Regions from separate parts of the Mus musculus genome. Here region 2 is reported to be linked to region 1. The links are microRNA targets in miRTarBase. Many come from high-throughput screens and were not tested one by one. Region 1 holds a microRNA gene; the other region holds the end of a gene's coding sequence.
Evidence for each region. Region 1 holds the annotated microRNA mmu-miR-149-5p (UCUGGCUCCGUGUCUUCACUCCC, at 1,497-1,519, opposite strand). A microRNA usually pairs through its seed, bases 2 to 8, with sites in the 3' UTR of a target mRNA and lowers its output. Matches are read on the target gene's strand: a 7mer-m8 pairs with bases 2 to 8, a 7mer-A1 pairs with bases 2 to 7 and ends in A, and an 8mer does both.

Region 2: the mRNA of Gpr17 is a reported target of mmu-miR-149-5p. Seed matches in the 3' UTR shown: 7mer-m8 at 3,412-3,418.

Annotation. Positions count from the first base shown.
Region 1 is chr1:92,847,616-92,851,899 of GRCm38, reverse strand. It overlaps Mir149 (microRNA 149), which reads right to left and starts at 1,522; the gene lies at 1,457-1,522. The region is part of intron 1 of Gpc1 (glypican 1); the gene reads right to left. Gm29480 (predicted gene 29480) reads left to right here and starts at 3,103. Exons shown (of 4, transcript NR_166170.1): 1 at 3,103-3,199.
Region 2 is chr18:31,943,493-31,947,630 of GRCm38, forward strand. Gpr17 (G protein-coupled receptor 17) reads right to left here. Exons shown (of 2, transcript NM_001025381.2): 2 at 1-4,138. The coding sequence ends at 3,497. Lims2 (LIM and senescent cell antigen like domains 2) reads left to right here. Exons shown (of 10, transcript NM_144862.4): 3 at 647-713; 4 at 944-1,064. Among named protein-coding and RNA genes, the nearest start is that of Gpr17, 4.1 kb to the right of the region's middle.

The sequences.
Region 1 (4,284 bases):
GGGAGTGGAGATCTCTGACTAAGGAGAGATTCTGAGGTTGCATTCACCCTTAAGAGCTTGTTACATGATCACATCCTTGTCTTTAGCACTTAGTAAGCACAAGCATTTATGTGTGCTGGATGGTGTGTGTGTGTGTGTGTGTGTGTGTGTGTGTGTGTGTGTGCATATTGCAGAGTGGAACTGTGTACAGCCTCTGTGATTTTGACCTGACATGGAAGGTATATATCCCCAGATGCCACCCCTCCATCCCTAGGTAGGGCAACCTTCAGATCTGCTCTTCCAGGTCTCAGGTTGAGGGCCTGGCCTAGCCCTTCTCCTGCTTACTAAGGCATGGGAGCTGTGCTTCATCCCAGAACCCTGGGGACTTTTGGCCTCACAGGCTGAGTCCCACCTGGTTTCAGGGTCCCCAAAGGTCCACAGAGCAGGGCAGTGGCTGACAGCTGGTAGAAGAACAGAAGGAATTGTATTCTGATTCAAGGGTGCTTGGGGGAGTCAAGAGAAAAGGGAGTCAGAGATGGGAGGTGCACACGGAATGCCCCTCCCACCACTCCCCTACCTGGTACCCTCTGCTCCTACCACACTGCTTCCTCCTGCCCAGGGCACCTGCCTTTCACAGGGACTGCAGGTCCTGGGAAGCAACATGTTATTAAGCACCCAACCTCAAGAAAGGGCTGGGTTGGTGCCCAGACAGCTGGGAGCTGCAAGCCTAGGTCCTGCCACTTGATCTGCATCCATTGATTGATTCCCTTCCTTCTAGAGTAGGGAGGGCTAAGCAGAGATTATCCACCCGCAAGCAGGCTACAGGCACAACAAGGTACAGGGCCCAGCAGGGCCTTCTATTTGCTCTGCTCCGGGCCATGGTCTGCTGGGCTGAGGTGATATGCCACATCTCTCTCTTTGAGTGGTGGGGTTTAAGGGTTTTTCTGTTAGAGGAGGAATCATGGGGGGCACTGTAGAGGATGACCCATCTCTGACTTCAGCAGTGAGTGGGGAAACAGCTATGGGGATGGAGGCTGCAGGTATCAGGATGGGGCCATCCTGGGCTCAGCTGGGACAGAGGCACTCTGTGTGTGTAGGCCAAAGGTTTTAGGTGGAAATATTGAGGACCAGGCTGCACAACAGAGCACTGGCAAGAGAGAGGTGGGCACAGCCTTACTGGCCCCTCCCATGGTTTCTGCTCCTCTGACATCCTTCTCCATCTTAGTGGTCCCAATTGCCACCCCTCACCACATAGACAGAAGAACGAAGCTGAAACAGGAAGAAGTTAATTAAGGACACACACTCAGAAACAGAAACTCGCCCCACTCCACGGCAGGTTCTGGATAAATGGGACCCATGAGACTTTTGGCCAGCTACTATGAGCATACCCCATCCAATGGCCTCCCCTGCAGCCCCCTGGCTCTGCCTGGCCACCTCACCCAGCCAGCCCGGTGACCTGCGCTGTTCCAGTTGCCCCAGCACCGCCCCCGTCCCTCCCTCCCTCCTCGGACAAACACGGGAGTGAAGACACGGAGCCAGAGCCTGGGCACTGGCCTGAGGGCCCCGGGCAGGCTGGGTCAGGCTGCCCAGAAGCCCATGCATTGGCAGACCTGCTTGCTGAGGGTCAAAGATAGAGGAGCTGAGACCCAGCCCAACTGGAACCATAGGTGCTCAACATCAGAACAGCTAAGGCAGGCTCTGCAAAGCTCTCTACACTTCCAGGAAAGCACTGGAGTACATACCCATCGTAGGAACGTCTCTCCGTTCTACCCTACCAGCAGCTTCCTCCTTGCCAGCCCTGAAGGTGGGTGGGAGTGGAGCGGCAGTATTGTTCCCCACTGACCCCGCCCATCTCTCTCAGAGTTGGTTTCATTTTTCCAGATCTTTCCCTCCTGGGTTTTTGGGGGGCACTACCCTCCCCTGGCACTCACAGGTTTTATTTGGGGAAGGGGGTTGTTTGTTAATGGCAGGTTTTCCCCACTTTAGTCCCTTTTCTAAGCCTTGTCCCCAACCCCAAAGCCTCTCAAATTCCAAGACCCCTGCTTCTTGTGACACTTAGCATGGCACCCCATTGCAGCAAACCCATGGGCAGCAACTGCTCATTTACCTCCTCCCAAATCTGGCTGCTTGCACCCCACCCCCGGCCCCCCACTATTCTCCAGAGCAGACAGCAGCTTGTGGCTTCCTACCTTTCAGGGTCACACCCTCCTGCCACCTGCTGACAGCTCCAGCTCCTGCTCCTCCCTCACAGAGGCAGCATCCCTCTTGGTCATCATCCACAGTCACCCCAGGACTTTAGCAGAGTCCAGCATCCTGATGCTACCCACAGACATCTCTGACCTGACCTCCCCTGACACTTCAGGGACCCAATGCCTTGAAACCCTCCACCTTCTGAAGATAATGCAGAGTCATGCTACCCCGCCTCTGGTCCATTCTTCTAGAAGCTTCCTGTGCTCACGGGGGAGATGCAGAGTGGAAAGCCCACTTCCCTCACGGCCCCTAAAACACTCCAGCTGGCACGGCTTGGGGGAGTGTAGGGGCATTCGGAGTATAATCTCTCAGCACCGCAGATAAGGGAGAGGCACAGGCTACACTCCCCTCCCCAGCTGCTGGCTCCTAGAGCAGGCCTTTCTGTTGACTGGTAGGTTAGAAGTAAACCAGCCCTCTGTGCTCCTGGGTTTTCCAGCCCCAGAGGCTGAGAGTCTCCAGGACGTGACAGCCTGGAGCAAATGGCCCAGCTTTCTGGGGGACTACTCACTGCCCAGGCTCCAGGGGCATTTTCCCATTGCTTGCTCCTGTTCCCCAACAAACCTGTCTAGTCCCCGGGGGTCACACCCGAAGGAAGACATTTCAACTCCATCTCTGAAATTGGAAAAGCATCAAGCACAATCCCCTCCCCGCCCCCACCTCACTCCCAATACTTTTCCACCCTCCTGGATGCCTTCATGATTCCCGAGCCCCTGCCTCCGGTTCACCCAAATGGCAACATCACCAAGAAGAACCTCCATCACGAACAGGGACCCCCTAACTGGGGGGCATCGGCTGCTGGCACTTCTATGGACTCGATGGGAGGGGTCATCTCCGGGCAGGCAAGGGCTCCTGCCAGCTGCCTCTCCAGCATCAGGCCAGGCCCTGGGCGAACAAAGCCTGGGCGACACCTGCAGCTCCGACCGACCGCTGCCTCCTCTGCAACGGGGATGGTTCTGTACAGCTGGAGCCGGTAAGATAAGCCGGAGCTGCAGATGCAGGCGCCTGCTCTGGCGCCGCAGTGAGGAGGGGGCGCTGGTGCAGTGGGCGCGGCTGGTGCGGAGAGCTGAGTGCTGCGGCAGGCAGAGGGGGGCATTTGGAGGGGGGCTGCGGAAAGCGGGAGATGGAGGGAGAGGAGAGAGGGCGATGTGATTGGCGGGGAAGGGGCTTGCCGCAGTGGGCGCGGCGGCAGAAAAAGGAGGGAGAAAAGCGAGCGCCATGGCTGTGGCGGCGGGGGCGGGGTGAAAGGGGGGATGGGTTCAGTAGAGGAAGGGGGACTTACTGCGGAAAGGGGGCTGCGGCAGCCTGAGGGGTGCAGGGGGAGGGATGGGGTAGAGAGGAATATCTAGGATGGTGCAGCACAACTTTAGGGAGATGGGGATGGGATGGAGGTGGGAGCTGAGAGACATGAGTGGACATCAGGGCTGATGACCAAGCTCTTGATGGGAAGGGGATGAGACAGAGATAGGCTGTAGTGGGGGTACAGCTGCGAGAGAATGGAACTGAAGATGAGAGGTGAATGCATGGAGGAGGGGGGATGCAGACAGGAATGGTGATAGAGATGGTGCCTAGCAGACGTAGCCTGGTAGCTTAGCGGACACCCTCCTGGCCTTAGAACCCCCTTCTCCATGGCCGCTCCAATAGTGTCCCCAGCTGTGGATGCACTCCGGATAGCAAGGGCGATTCCAGCGCCAGTGAAGTGGTCTGGCAATTGCAGAGCAGCAGAACTCAGCAGGAAAGGCCAAGATGAGGCTAGGGGTCTCGGCGTGGTGTGGTGGATCCCACAACCTAGGGCAGCAGGGCAGTGGCAGTCTCACTGATGCACAAGGCTGAAGGCAGCTTCCTGGGACGCACCTCCTCCCGCAACCTTCACTGGCACATTCAGCACCGCCCCCCCCCACCCCCCGTGTCCCTGGAAACAGTAGGCAGCTGCGGACCCCCCCCCCCCCCCACCGTGCTGGCATTTCAAAGGACTTGTGGATCAAATCTCTGCCTCTGGGCTAGCCCCAGCCCAGAGGTGGGGGGGGGGGTGTATCTGGTGCTCTGGCTCATTGGCCT
Region 2 (4,138 bases), not on the chromosome of region 1:
TCAAAGATGACGAACTTCCGGCGCATCCTGCCTCCATCCTCCGGTGCTGAGGTTACAGATGTGCACTGCTGTACCCTATTCACACAGTTCTGTGAACCCAACCAGGACTTCTGTGAATGGTAGGCAAGCACTCTACAAACTGAGCTACCGCCCAGACTTTGCTTAAGAAAGCAAATCTTTAAGGGAGGGAAAAGCAAGCTTCAGATGGTGGCTGACTGAAGCGCTGCTGTCACTCCCAATTCCCCTCCCTGAGGAATTCTGTCTTCCGTCTTCCCTCTTTGGGTCTTTTGTAGTCTCTGGAGGGACTGAGCTGGTCAGACACAGAGGACAAAGCCAGTCAGATAACTCAAGATTTGACCCATCCTTTCCCAGCCCCGGCTCCCACCTCTGCGTGGCCTGTTGTCAGGATCCACAGGTCCCCTCTCCCTCAGCAGACAGCAGAATCCCCAAAAGCTGTCTCGGACCCTCAGTATCTCTGTGAACCCCCCACTTTGCACTCTGCTAAGTCACATGGGCTAGACCCCCACTACAGCTTTGGAAGCCCCCCTTCTCAGGACCTCAGACCCCTGCTATTTATTGGGGGGCCAAGACTTACAGAGAAGTTGAATGACTCATGTATCTTTTCTTCTGTGGCCCCCATTTGCAGTTTGAGGGCCGGAAGTACTGTGAACATGACTTCCAAATGCTATTTGCTCCATGCTGCGGATTCTGTGGTAAGAGCTGGTGACAGCACTTAGCAAGCAGGACGGGGACAAGTGGGGTAACAGCCAGTACTGAAGTTCCTTAGCCTGGGGACTTTTCCTGGCTTCCTGAGCATTGTCTTCAGGCCCCTAAAAGAGGGGTACTTGGACAAGGGTGGACCCGGAAGAACACTGGTTACAAAGACCGTGGGAGCTGAAGGGTGGGGTGTGCGCCCTGACAGCTGAGGTCTCTCCTCTTGCAGGTGAATTTGTCATTGGCCGCGTGATCAAGGCCATGAACGCCAACTGGCATCCTGGCTGCTTCCGCTGTGAATTGTGTGATGTGGAGCTGGCTGACCTGGGCTTTGTGAAGAACGCAGGCAGGTGAGCCAGCTGCAGTCATGGGCAGAGAGGAGGACCCCTTGTCCCTACTCTAAGAGCTGTGGTCCTGCCCAGTAGGCTCTGTGGCATCTCAACTGATCTGGTTGTGGGCTTTGTCCTACCCCTGCTAGATGGAGAACACAGCCCCCAGGGGATGGATAAGGGTGGAGGCAGGAGAGTAAGGACAGACAGCTCCCTCTGGGCATAGGGTGGTCTTTGGGGGACAGAAGGCTTGAAGGGCTTTAAGTGGCAATGAATAGATGAGGAGTTTTAAGTTGGCGAATCCCAATTACTCATGACATCCCACCCACCACTGCTGCACCACGCTGACCCCATCTGTCTGCCTTCCTCCCAGCATTCACATGGCTGGACCAGGTTGCCCAATTTACTCCAAATTCAGGACTGTAAGCCTCACTGGTACTCTGCCAGTTCCCCTTCCAGAAGGCCTTACTCTTTCTTCTTACCCCTGCCTCCCTCACTGTGGGCTCTATACCTCCCCAGCAGCCGTGAGCTTATCTCCCTCCTGGGTGGGAAAGCTTTGGGGGGAGCACCCAGCAACGCCTTTGTGCCCCGAAGCCCTCCCCAGCACAGCTTCTCAACGACTCAGGTCAAGCCTGGGTATCACCAGGTCCTCCCCTTGACCTCCGAGTGCCCTCACAGCAGAGCCCTCCTCTTTCAGTGAGATTTCTGTGTTGTGCTAGCTTCCCTCAGCTTCTTCCTTGGCACAGAGATGTTCTTTGGGCCCCATATCCATGTCAGCCTTTGAGGATGAAGTCTTGGGCCTCTCAATGATACATCTGGACAATCCAGGTATCCCCTCCAGATCTCTCCTTTGCTCAAGTCTCCTACCAGTGTGGCATCTCTGTTTAAGATTCTAATGTAACAGGTCCCAAATCGAGCTGCAAATTTCTCCTCCTCTGACCCAAGTCTGCTTCTGAACCCCTGTGTCAGGAAAGGCAGTGCTAATTTCCAGAGACCCTCCAGTTTCCCAGGAGACTGTCCTTCCTGTCTGGGTCTTTGCCCCCTCTGTCCCTCCTGTCACAGACTGCGGTACTCTTGTCCCTTTGCTCTTCTGTCGAAGAGACACATGGTCCCGTGCTGGTCCTGGCTGGCACAGTCTTGTACTCCGCAGGTTGTTGTGGCCATGGGGGTGGACAGATCAGCACCAGATAGAAGCAGTGCTGAGCATCAGGGCCATCTTAGGGTTTCTCTGGTGAAAGGCAGGATGCAGCTGGAGGGATCCGTTTGAGAGCTCCCTTAACGCACATGCCTGGACAGACATGTCACAAGGCCACCAGAACCACAACCAGGAAGATGTTGCCCTACTTGGTCATTCTTGGGTGGAAAGGACGAGGATTTCAGGGGGAGAACATCATGTGTCATGTTGGACCAGCATGATAATTTCCTTCATCTTAAGACTCAGTTATGTTTAAGAGTATTGCTATCAAGTACATTAGAGCGGTCACCACATGCTGGCACATTCAACAGCTCAGAGCCAGGCAGCCAGGGTGGCAGAAGCCTCTTGGGAGGGAGTGGGGCTCAGGATGTCCCTTCTGGGCGCAGTTGGAGACAAGTTCTCGCATCAGGCTCTCTGCCTGGGCTCTAATGTCTGTCCGTCCATGCCATATGCCTGACTAGGCCACATTCTAATGACAAGCTCTGAACAGTGCCAGGCTTGAGGCTGGTGTGGGGACATGGCGTGCTGACTTCCAGAGACCCTCCAGCTTCTCACGAGACTAACCTTCCTGTCTGGGTCTTTGCCCCCTCTGTCAACAGGAGGAGCTGAGCCCAGAACTATATTCGCTGGGTTCACAAGCAACCAGTCTGAATTATACTCACATGTAGCTATCACTAGAGTCTGTGTCCCCTAAACTCAGGCAGAGATTATGAGGCAAAGGCATCTTAAGCAATATTCGATATACCATACACTTCAAAGGAAATATTAAATATCCATCTAGTTCCATTGACATTTGTGCTGCCTCTTCTCCCGGACCTTGGGCAGCTTGCTTTCTGGGTTATTCTGTAGGGCTTTGTTTCTGTGGGCATCTGTAGTATGAAAGAAGCTAGAAATTTATTAGAGAAGAAAGATTCCCATTGTTCCAGAAATGTCCCTGTGGCTCTCTTCCCTATTTAGCACGAGTGAAGTCACTGAGTGTCTGGGAGCTGTACAGAAGCCAGGCCAACCCAGTCCTGTGGAGGGGTGGGCAGGGCATCCCTGTGGTTAGTCCTGCCTCTTGATGGATTCGCTGAGACTGGATGGCCTTGCAGTTGAGGCCTTGAAGCAGGGTGAGAACTCCCGATGTTTCCGTTTGTTTGCTCAGGAATAGTGAAGGAAGATAGACTTCTTTAGCTGGCTCTGGTAGCATGTGCCCCAGTTGATAGCTGGTCTTCCTGCACCAGTCTACAGCTGGCCTGGTGTAGGACCTCCCAGAGGCTCACAGCTCGGATCGGGCACTCAGGGAGCTCTCGTTGGTTTTCCCTTCGAAGCTGGGAGGTGGACCTGTGAGCCGTTTGCTGCAGAGCAAGTTGCACAAGGCGTGGCGGAACTTCTCAGCCACAAAGAAGTACATGACAGGATCCAGGGCCCCGTTGAGGCTGGTGAGGCAGGAGGTGATCCGGTTCCCCAGGGCCAGGGCACGCTGAGCAGCGCACGAAGTCCCACCACCACGGTAGTGAAGCACATAGACTGAACGGTGGATGTGGTAGGGCACAAAACAAATCAGGAAGATGGCCAGAACCATAGCAATCATGCGGACGGCTTTATTCTTGAGGTGCTTCTCTATCCGGGGACCCTGGCGCAGGCTGCGAATGATCAGCAGGTAGCAGGTGACCGTGGTGATGAATGGGAAGGTAAAAGCCACAGCCAGGGATGCCAGGGCGTGATGGGAGGCCTTCTCCCGGTACAGTTGCAGGCAGACAACTGTGTGGTTGGTCTGCACTGTCTGTGGGCTGACTAGCAGTGGGGCCATAGCCACAGCCACCACGATCCACAGGAAGGCGCAGGCCAGGTGAGCATAGAGAGGTCTTCGAAGCTTGAGGGACTTGACAGGGTGCACAATGGCCAGGAACCGGTCAGC